2 linked regions of the Oryctolagus cuniculus genome follow. The protein of the gene in region 2 purifies or fractionates together with the protein of the main gene of each other region. This does not show direct contact. Links are inferred from orthologs where the notes say so. Each region holds a gene or a part of one and is shown on either strand. Other genes may lie near its edges.

Evidence for each region.
Region 1: the proteins of TULP3 (region 2) and IFT122 purify together in Homo sapiens (co-immunoprecipitation; 6 studies listed by BioGRID and IntAct, counting the BioPlex papers as one, with this or other methods). This does not show direct contact. The link is inferred for Oryctolagus cuniculus from reciprocal best matches to the Homo sapiens genes TULP3 and IFT122.

The regions. Positions count from the first base shown.
Region 1 is NC_091441.1:114,431,194-114,435,714, forward strand, and holds the start of IFT122 (intraflagellar transport protein 122 homolog), read right to left. Parts: upstream 2,895-4,521; 5' UTR 2,743-2,894; coding exon 2,702-2,742; intron 1-2,701. Other genes in the region: MBD4 (methyl-CpG-binding domain protein 4), read left to right, coding at 3,240-3,328. UniProt on the Homo sapiens protein: As a component of the IFT complex A (IFT-A), a complex required for retrograde ciliary transport and entry into cilia of G protein-coupled receptors (GPCRs), it is required in ciliogenesis and ciliary protein trafficking.
Region 2 is NC_091440.1:106,431,137-106,435,468, forward strand, and holds the start of TULP3 (tubby-related protein 3), read right to left. Parts: upstream 2,922-4,332; 5' UTR 2,847-2,921; coding exon 2,797-2,846; intron 1-2,796. UniProt on the Homo sapiens protein: Negative regulator of the Shh signaling transduction pathway: recruited to primary cilia via association with the IFT complex A (IFT-A) and is required for recruitment of G protein-coupled receptor GPR161 to cilia, a promoter of PKA-dependent basal repression machinery in Shh signaling.

The sequences.
Region 1 (4,521 bases), on a different chromosome or scaffold from region 2:
TTTTACCAAAAAGACAGAGTCAAAAGATAGATCACTGGGGCCAGTGCTGTGGCGCAGCAGGTAAAGCCGGCATATGGACGCTGGTTCGAGTCTTGGCTGCTCCACTGCCAATCCAGCTCTCTGCTGTGGCCTAGAAAGCAGCGAAGATGGCCCAAGTCCTTGGGCCCTTGCACCCGCATGTGAGACCCGGAAGAAGCTCCTGGCTCCTGGCTTCAGGTCAGCCCAGCTCCGGCCATTGCAACCATTTGGGGAGTGAACCAGCAGATGGAAGACCTCTCTTTGTCTTTCTCTCTCTCTCTGCCTCTCAAATAAATAAATAAATCTTAAAAACATGAAACAGAATTATAAAAAAAAAGATACATCATCAAATTCCATGGCACAGATAGAGCGTGAATTCTCTATCCAACCTTTGTCCTGTGCCAATCTTGCACCCAGCCCACTGCACACTGAAATTCCGAGACAACTCTCCAAACCCTACACAATCACTTAGCGCCACTTACTTGTTTTGTAATCCTAGGCAAATTGTGACACCTCACTAAATCTGATTCCTCCTTTGTAAATAGGATAACAATCCCAACCTCACAGGTTGCTGTGGAGATTAACCAAGGAAACGTGTGTCCACATCTGGCCTGCAGCAGGTACTCTGTAAATACTGCTGGAGAGTAGCCTGACTGGAATAAGATGGGCCAGCAAATATGGCATCATGGGTGACATCAACCTGAGGCACTGCATTTAAAAGGGAAAACCAGAGTTCACAGACGCCTAAGAGAGCATTTGGGAAGGATCTTTGGGTAGGAAAAGTCGGAGGCTGAACTGGAAAGGATAAATTCAAATGTGAGCAAGCCCATGGGGACAGTGATCATAAGAACCACCTAGCCATAGGCACGATCTGACCTGTAATGTAAGCGCAGTCTAGAAACAGAGTCTGTCGCATGTGAAGGTCAGACTGGAAGCCGAAGAGGCAGAGGCCGGGTCAGTGAGGAAGGGCTGATCTGTGTTGAGTTCTACTCTCTGTTTTTTATAGACTTTTGTTTTGTTCTGCGTCCTTCTGGACTACCAACTGACTGTCCAGCTGCCGTCAGAACCCGTGTGCCCTCTGTTCTAACAGAAACCTACGACTGGCCAAAACCAAATAATCAATGCTTGTTCATTACTCACTCACTTATTCATCCATTCGATGAATACATGTAGCCATCAAATAGTAATAACCACCACCAACTTGACCAAGCTCTGGAATAATCCGGAAATAAATAAAATATAGCCATTGCTTTTTAAAGAGTTTCTAGACTTCTGGATTAAACAGATTAAAAATTGGCCTTTATTCTGGATAGACTCTAAGTACCACAAGAGAGAAATGAACAAAATTCTGTGCCAGGGGTTGAGAACACAGCAAATCAGGCTGCACTGGGCCAGCAAATGTTTTGTCTGGCCCACATGGTGTTTTCTTTTGTTTTTCCAGATTAGATGCCAACATGTAAAAATTAGGACATTTCAGAGAGAAGCCCAGATTTGCAGCTTCTGGTAAAAACAGGAAGATCTGAGCACACAAGGCCAGTTGCTACATGGTGGCAACGGGCAGAGTACAGCAGGCGCTCTCCAGTTTCCCACCGTCCTTGTCACTCTTACTCGGTGGCATCCAAGCCACACGTGCAGGTGCCAGGTGTCACCAGTTTGCACTGGGGGCACTTTCACAACAGAGGTATGTTTTTTTTTTTTAAACTCAAGTCTATTAAAAGTAGAAATAAGCGACACACTGAGCGCGCCACGTGTTTCAAGCGATGTAGGGTGCAAGATAGAATATTCCTAAGGAACACGGACCATTCCTTGCGTTTACCAACACGCATCTCTCATTTATGTCCCTGCCTGACCCCTGCACGCTCTTGAGTTTGTCACGCAAACTCTTGAGTTTGTAGCCGCAAAGCCATCACTCACTACGGAGATGGCTGCGGCACTGCTCGAAGGGGCCCGTAGTGGACGCCCAGGATCTCACCGTGAGATGAGCAAAGACAGGGAACACATGTCTGACCCCCGTGGCCCGCCACTGGGCCAGGGGGCTGAAAAGACCATCCAGGAAGATTCTTGAAAGTCAGGCTGAGAATCACCCACGCAGTCCGTGTTGCCCGAAATGTACCGTGGTGTGATGGGCGGTGCAGGTGACTTTTAAAGGGCACGAAACACGCCAGCCGGCGAGCAGGGCCGGGTTCGCTGCCGTTCACCTTAGCACCTTTCGAGGGCAGCGGCCACCCTCCGGGCCCAGAGGCCCGCCCCGCTCCCCGGCAGCGGCGTCCGGGCGCCTCCCAGCTGTACTTGGACACTCCCCTGACACTTAAAAGCAAGCGACACTCGTTTCTCATACACGTTGTACCTAAGTTTCCGTGGGAAACCTAAAAACCGCACTTCAGAGAAAGTTCAGTGCGGCGGTGCGGAGAAATCCAGCCACCGAGGGCACGGGCAACGCGCGGGCGCGGCGACCCTGACGGAGTTCAGCCGAGGGACCGCTCCCTGAGGATGCCCAAAACGCCTCCAACGGCCGCCGCCCCCGGGAGGGTGACCCCGCGGGCTCCCAGACCCCCGGTCCGCGGCCCTCCGCCCAGGCCGCAGGCCCGTTGCCCCTGGCAACCGCGCCGGTTCCCGCCGCGGCTGCCGCCATCCCCGAAGGCGCTCCGCCCTCCCCGCTCCTCCAGACTGCCCCGCGCCTCACCACTGCTCGACTTTATCTCTCCACGTCAGCACGGCCCTCATCGCGGTTTCCCTCACGACTCGGGCCCCTCCTCCCCGCCTCAGCAACCCGCTCCGCTCGACGAGCCAATTTGGCTACCCGCGCTACCCCTGGCAACGCACATGCGCAGTGAGCGGCGCGCGAGCGACCCCCGTAGCTCCGAGTGCGCATGCCTAAAAGGGAGGGCGAGAAAAGCAGTAAAAGCGACGAAGGGAGCCCAGAAGGCGTTAAGCGCCACCAAGGCGTGCGCCATTGGTCGAGACGGGTAGAGGGGGCGGGACGTTTTCCCCGATAAAGGATATGATTGGCGGAGCCGTGGAAGTGGTAGTTATGGAGGCGGGGGCGGCCGGAAAGCAACTGTGTAGTCTTTCCCGCGTTCATTCACTACATTCAGACTGGTTTTATCTCAGCGGCCTGAGGGGCAGAGGTTTTTACCTCTTGCTTCTCTTCCGCTCCAGGGCCTCGTAGCTCTCGGCCGTGGGTCGCAGCTGGAGCCCGCTTTGAGGGTGGCACGGCTGAGATGGAGAGCCCGAGCCTGGGGGATGGCGGAGCTGCCCCTGCGGTCTCCTGTAGCGAGCGCCCAGCCCCAGCCCAGCCCTGCGACCTCGGGCAAGTGACTGTCCCCTTTCGGGCCGCCCCTTCACCCTTGTAAAATGGGAGCTGGCGAGTAGGCGGGGTGGGCCTTTCTGGGCTTGAGGTACTGAGAGCTGGGTCAGCCCAGGGTGCGCCCCGCTTCCGGCCCCGAAGCGACTGGGGGAGCTGAGGGAAGCGAAGAGGCGCCGGGAGAGGTCTCCCGTTCGACCCGGGCCGCGGGAGCAGCAACGGGAGGCGTCCGGGCGTGCGTGTGCTGTGAGGCGAGGGTGGCCTGCCTTGTTAGGAAACGCATCCTCAGAACCGCGTCGGGGGAGGTCTTCCCGCCAGCATCGAATGCTGAAGTGGCTTGCTTTTGGGCACACGGCTAGGAAATGGCAGAGCCGTCGGTGTGGCGCGGACTGCGCAAGGTTTCTGTCCCCTCTCCTGGGAAATGCAAACTGTGGCTTCCATTAGAACAGCCCAGTCCCCAAACTATTTAACCGTGGTTCTCACTCTGGTTAGTCACTGGTTGCTGCTTAGTTTCCCTGTTTGTAGAAAAGAAGTTGGGTTAGTTGAGCAGTGGAGACGGATCCAGCGTTTAAAATGTGTGAGTCAGTGAGTAGGATGCACTTGACCGAAGCTTTTCGGGAACGGCACAGGGGAGAAGTGTTAGGCTAAGGTGTAGTGGACCTGGGTTCTGGTATCAGTTGTGCAAGTCACTTAACTTGCCTCTCACCCACTTTCATCGGTGAAATGAGAGTAAACGTTACCAATCTCACAAAGTTAGCATCATGAGGATCAAGAGTTAAAGAGATTGCGAATTCAAAATCAGAAATTATTTATTTTAGGAGGCTTGCAACATCTGGTCAAAATGAAAGACACTTTGGCCCAGAAAAACACACATATTATAGGTAAAATGTGTACCTCGTTTATTTGCAGAGGGGAGCTGGTGAATGGAGGTGATCACTCACTGAGTGCTTCAAGGGTTTCTGTTAATCCTGGACTCAGCTGTTGGTTCATATTCTCAGACTTAGACCAAGTGCCACCAGAAATCTCTATAACAGCCTTATTGGATGATTAGCATTTTTAATAGGGGTTTCCCATACTTTAAAACTCATGTTGGAGGAGAAGAAACTTCTGTGGTGGACAAGAAGATAACCTGTTGAACAAGACTGGTTCATGCTAACTTTAATCTCTCCGATTTTAACCTGAATAATCCATATGGATTC
Region 2 (4,332 bases):
CAGCAATCACGGCGCAGGGATATAAACTGGAGGCCAGGACGCTTCTAGGACAACTCCAGGTCACAAGGTCACGGCACACCTTCAGTTCTGTGTCGCCAACAAAGGCAGACAGAGCTCAGAGTTCCAATGCTCACCAAACCCGGTGGTCTGCGGGTAACCTGTGCTCGTTAAAACGCACACAACGCCCGGCTTCAAGCAAATCTGGAGTGTTGCTCCCGGCTCGGTCTCCAAGCCTCACGAAATATGTTAGAGGAGGGAAACAGTTGAAGCGTACTTGTTAATAATTCTTCCGCTCTGTTTTTCCATGAGGCGGATTTCTTTTCAACAGTCACAGAGTTCAGAGAAAAATAAAATCACTGCAAAACTAAAAGATGCTATCCTCACATAAAGTATTAATACTGAAAACTTATCAATGTATTTCATCAAAAGGACACGGAACACACAACCTGAAGCCCAACAGCAAAAGACACGCACTCCCTTTGGACAAGAGACGGATGCAACAGTGGCTACAGCAGCGAATGCTACAGTGGCAGAAGCTGCACTAACATTACCCAGCCCAGCAAACACACTCAGGGACTCACACGTTCCCCTTTGATGTCAGTTTTAATAAGCAGCTGGTTTCTCTAGGAAGAAAAAGAGGGGAGAAACTTTAAATTTACATCTTTAAACTTCAGGTACAATAAAAAAAATTTTTTGCCTCCTGGCTCTAATTTCCAAGTCCACCTCATTTTCTTTTTCTTGTTCAAACATCATGAGTCATATCAAACATCTGGTGCTCACGAAATTTACTGCTTTAAATTCAACTGAAAACTGACCGTCCACAACTGAACAAGTGCCATCTCAATTCAGAGAAACTGAGTGCTGACTTCATCTCTACACAGCATCTCCATACCTGTATTTGAAAATGTAGATTTTTTCTTTTCCTCTTGACTTGGAGGGGAAAAAAGCAACAACGAATGCAGCCATCACAAACAGGACTCATTCGGGGAGGAAAACGGGGGCTCTCTCCCTGAGCGCCTCCTCTGTGACAGCTTTTTTTTTTTTTTTTTTTGGCAGGCAGAGTGGTCAGTGAGAGAGAGAGACAGAGAGAAAGGTCTTCCTTTTGCCGTTGGTTCACCCTCCAATGGCCACTGTGGCCAGCGCGCTGCGGCCAGCGCACCACGCTGATCCGATGGCAGGAGCCAGGTACTTATCCTGGTCTCCCATGGGTGCAGGGCCCAAGCACTTAGGACATCCTCCACTGCACTCCCTGGCCACAGCAGAGAGCTGGCCTGGAAGAGGGGCAACCGGGACAGAATCCGGCGCCCCGACCGGGACTAGAACCCGGTGTGCCGGCGCTGCAAGGCGGAGGATTAGCTTAGTGAGCCGCGGCGCCAGCCCTGTGACAGCTTTTAAAAATGATTCAGAATCATCTAAACGTCTACTAGTTAAGCACCAGACTAAACCCTCAAATGCCAAGTGTTCGTTTGCCGTGGTAATGGAATAAAAGGCTGGGAACAGGCAGGACTGGCCAGTAGGATCTGAATCTTCAGACGGGAGGGCCAAAGCTTTAAGCCGCACTGCTCCTTGTTAACTTTTCATTAGCCTCGTCAACAAGAAAATCCACAGGCTGAGGTTCGGATTCTTTCCTTTCCCGGGCTTTCCCTCCGGCAGGGGCAGGAACGGGGGAGGGCACAAAGTCTAGAGTACATCAGAAAACAAGGCAGAACATCCCGCTTGAGAGGCAGCCACGGGAAAGCAGGGGGAAGAAAATCCAGTTCCCCATTTTCAGCCTGGCGACTCCCTTCCAGAACTCAGCACTGCCTGCCAAAAGCAACGGCGGTGGAGCAGATGACTAAATATCACCCTCAACCTCCGCCTGGCCTCATCGCGGGAAGTCTTGGTGGCTCCTCGGCTGAGACATGGAGGGGCAGAGCAGCCAGAGACGGGGGCCCGGCGGAGCAGGGATGCAACCACGCTGAAGCCCCCTTTCTAGTCCTTGTCGTATTCAGATGAACACAAGCTACCTGCTGAGTTTGGGACTAACTACACTGCGCATCTGCTCTCACACACACATTGCACTCGCTTGTGAATCCCAGAAAGCGGCCTTGGCGAAGCCAGCTGAAGTTGCAAAGCAATGCATCCCTCCGGGCCAACACAACCAGAGAAAGTCACTGAACTGAATTCACCCTGACAGAATGCAAAGGGGTTACTAGGAGCACAGCCCAGCAGCCGCTCTTTGCTGAACGAACGGGCTTCACCTGGGCGAAGGAGCCAGGGAAAAATCTCTTTGACAGGATACCTGGCCTCCTTCTCAGCTGTACAGAACATCCTGCCACGCCCTCCTGATAAATCCAAGCCATCAACTTCGGAGACTTATAAAATACCCTGTTACCTTGGGCGCCCTGTGCTCCTGACCAGCCAGCGGCCACGTCCTCCCTAACACCCCAGACCCAGGACGGCTGTTCTTGAATCCACGGTCTGCTACCCTCCTCATCCACTAGTGCATTAAACTTCTCCCCTTCATCTTCAAAACTTGTCCCCCCCGCGGCGTGGACGAGGACCCCGCACTGGGTAAACGAGGCCAGCTTCTCAAGAAACTCCAGGAGCCCGAGCGGCGACCTGCACAAAAAGCCCTCTCTGGGTACCGAGGGTCTGCGAGCCCGCGCTCCCCGACGCCCGCCTGTCCGAATCTGAGGGTCCCAGGTTGAAAGCGGGGAGGGGGCGCGCCGCCCCCGCCCGACGCCCCGCCCTCTCCCCCGGAGCCTCCGCCCTCGTCCCTCTGTCCGCTCCACGGGAGACCAGCCTCGTGCGTGCCTTTCCGACCTGTACCCGTGGGGAGCCAGTCCACAGCGCGACGCCTCCATGGCCGGCTCTCCGGAACGGCAAGCAGGGGCAGACCCCCAGACGCCGCTGCTGGGGTGGCAAGTCTGGCCGGCGGCCGGGCCCCGCCCCCTGGCAACCACACCCCGCACTGTCGCCGGCGCCCATTGGCCCTCGCGCCGGCCGCCCCTCTCTCATTGGATTCCTAAGGGGCGGGAGGAGCCCGGGAGTTAAAGGCGCCTGCGCCAGGGCGGGGACGCGGCGCCGGGGCTGGATCCCCTGGAGCGCTGGGCTGGGCAGGCACTGAGCGCCGGATGTGTGGGCGTCCGCCGGGCGCCTGGGCTCCCTGCAGCCGACAGGGGCGTCCGCCCGAGGAGCAGCCCACCCCCACCTTGCGCCACCCAGGGAGCGGCTTCGGCCTCGCAGCCGCGTGCATTTGCAGACCCTTGCGCCGCCCTCGCCTCCGTAACCCACAGAGAACTGCTCCAGCTCTTCCCTGGTGCACAGAGGACAGGAGAGGATGTTTCCGTCCCCCCCCCCCCCATTTCCTGGGAACCAACTACTCTCTACCAAGGCTGGGGAACTATCACTTGGTCCGGCCCTGCCAAGGCAGCTGCAGGCGGGACTCGTGGAGCAGGCTAACTTTTAAGTTGGTAATGCTCCACGGCCCACGGAGATGTTACAAATTTCCAAATGGCACTCGGCAGAAAAGAGTTCCCAACCCCTGAAGTTGTCTCCGTGGCATTTCCCATCGTCAGCTGTTTGCACATGGGTTACATCTTTAGGAGGGGCTGGCACCGTGGAGCAGAAGGTGAAGCGGCCACTTGCAAGGCTGGCGTCCTCTAAGGAAAGCCTGCTGGAATCCTGGCTGCTGCAGTTCTGATCCAGCTCCCTGCTGTTCTGCCTGGGAAAGCAGCAGCTGATGGCTCAAGTGCTTGGGCTCCAGCCACCCACGTGGGAGACCTAGATGGGGATACTGGCTCCTGGCTTTGGCCTGGAACAGCCCTGGCCAGTTTGGTCATTTGGGGAGTGAACCGGCAGACGGAAGTTGTCTCTCTCTCTCTCTCCATCACTCTGCCTTTCAAGTAAACAAATCTTTATTTAAAAAAAATTTAAAGGCATAGATCTTGGCACAAACTAACAGCAGAGCATTGAACTTACTGTGTGACCATAAACATGGCTCACTCTCTGGGCTTCAGATTCCCACCTATAAACAGAACACCTGCTTGGTCCAGCTGGGACTGCACCTGACACAGTGTAGGCTCCTGAATGCTCAGTGAATGGGGCTTAAATGAGATGCTACTTGCATAACCCACGTGACACTTTGTTGACTGGGCAAGCCTGCATTAGCTCCAACAGTATTCAAAAAGGTCCACGTTTATGTATACACCGTTATTATAAGAAACCATTTTCCTACCCTTATTTAATATTTACAGATTTAACATTTACAGGTTTCTTGGGTGGAAACACTCAAAGCACAAGCTGATCTAAGTGCCCCCTCTGTGTGTGCCACTCATCCCTGATCCCACT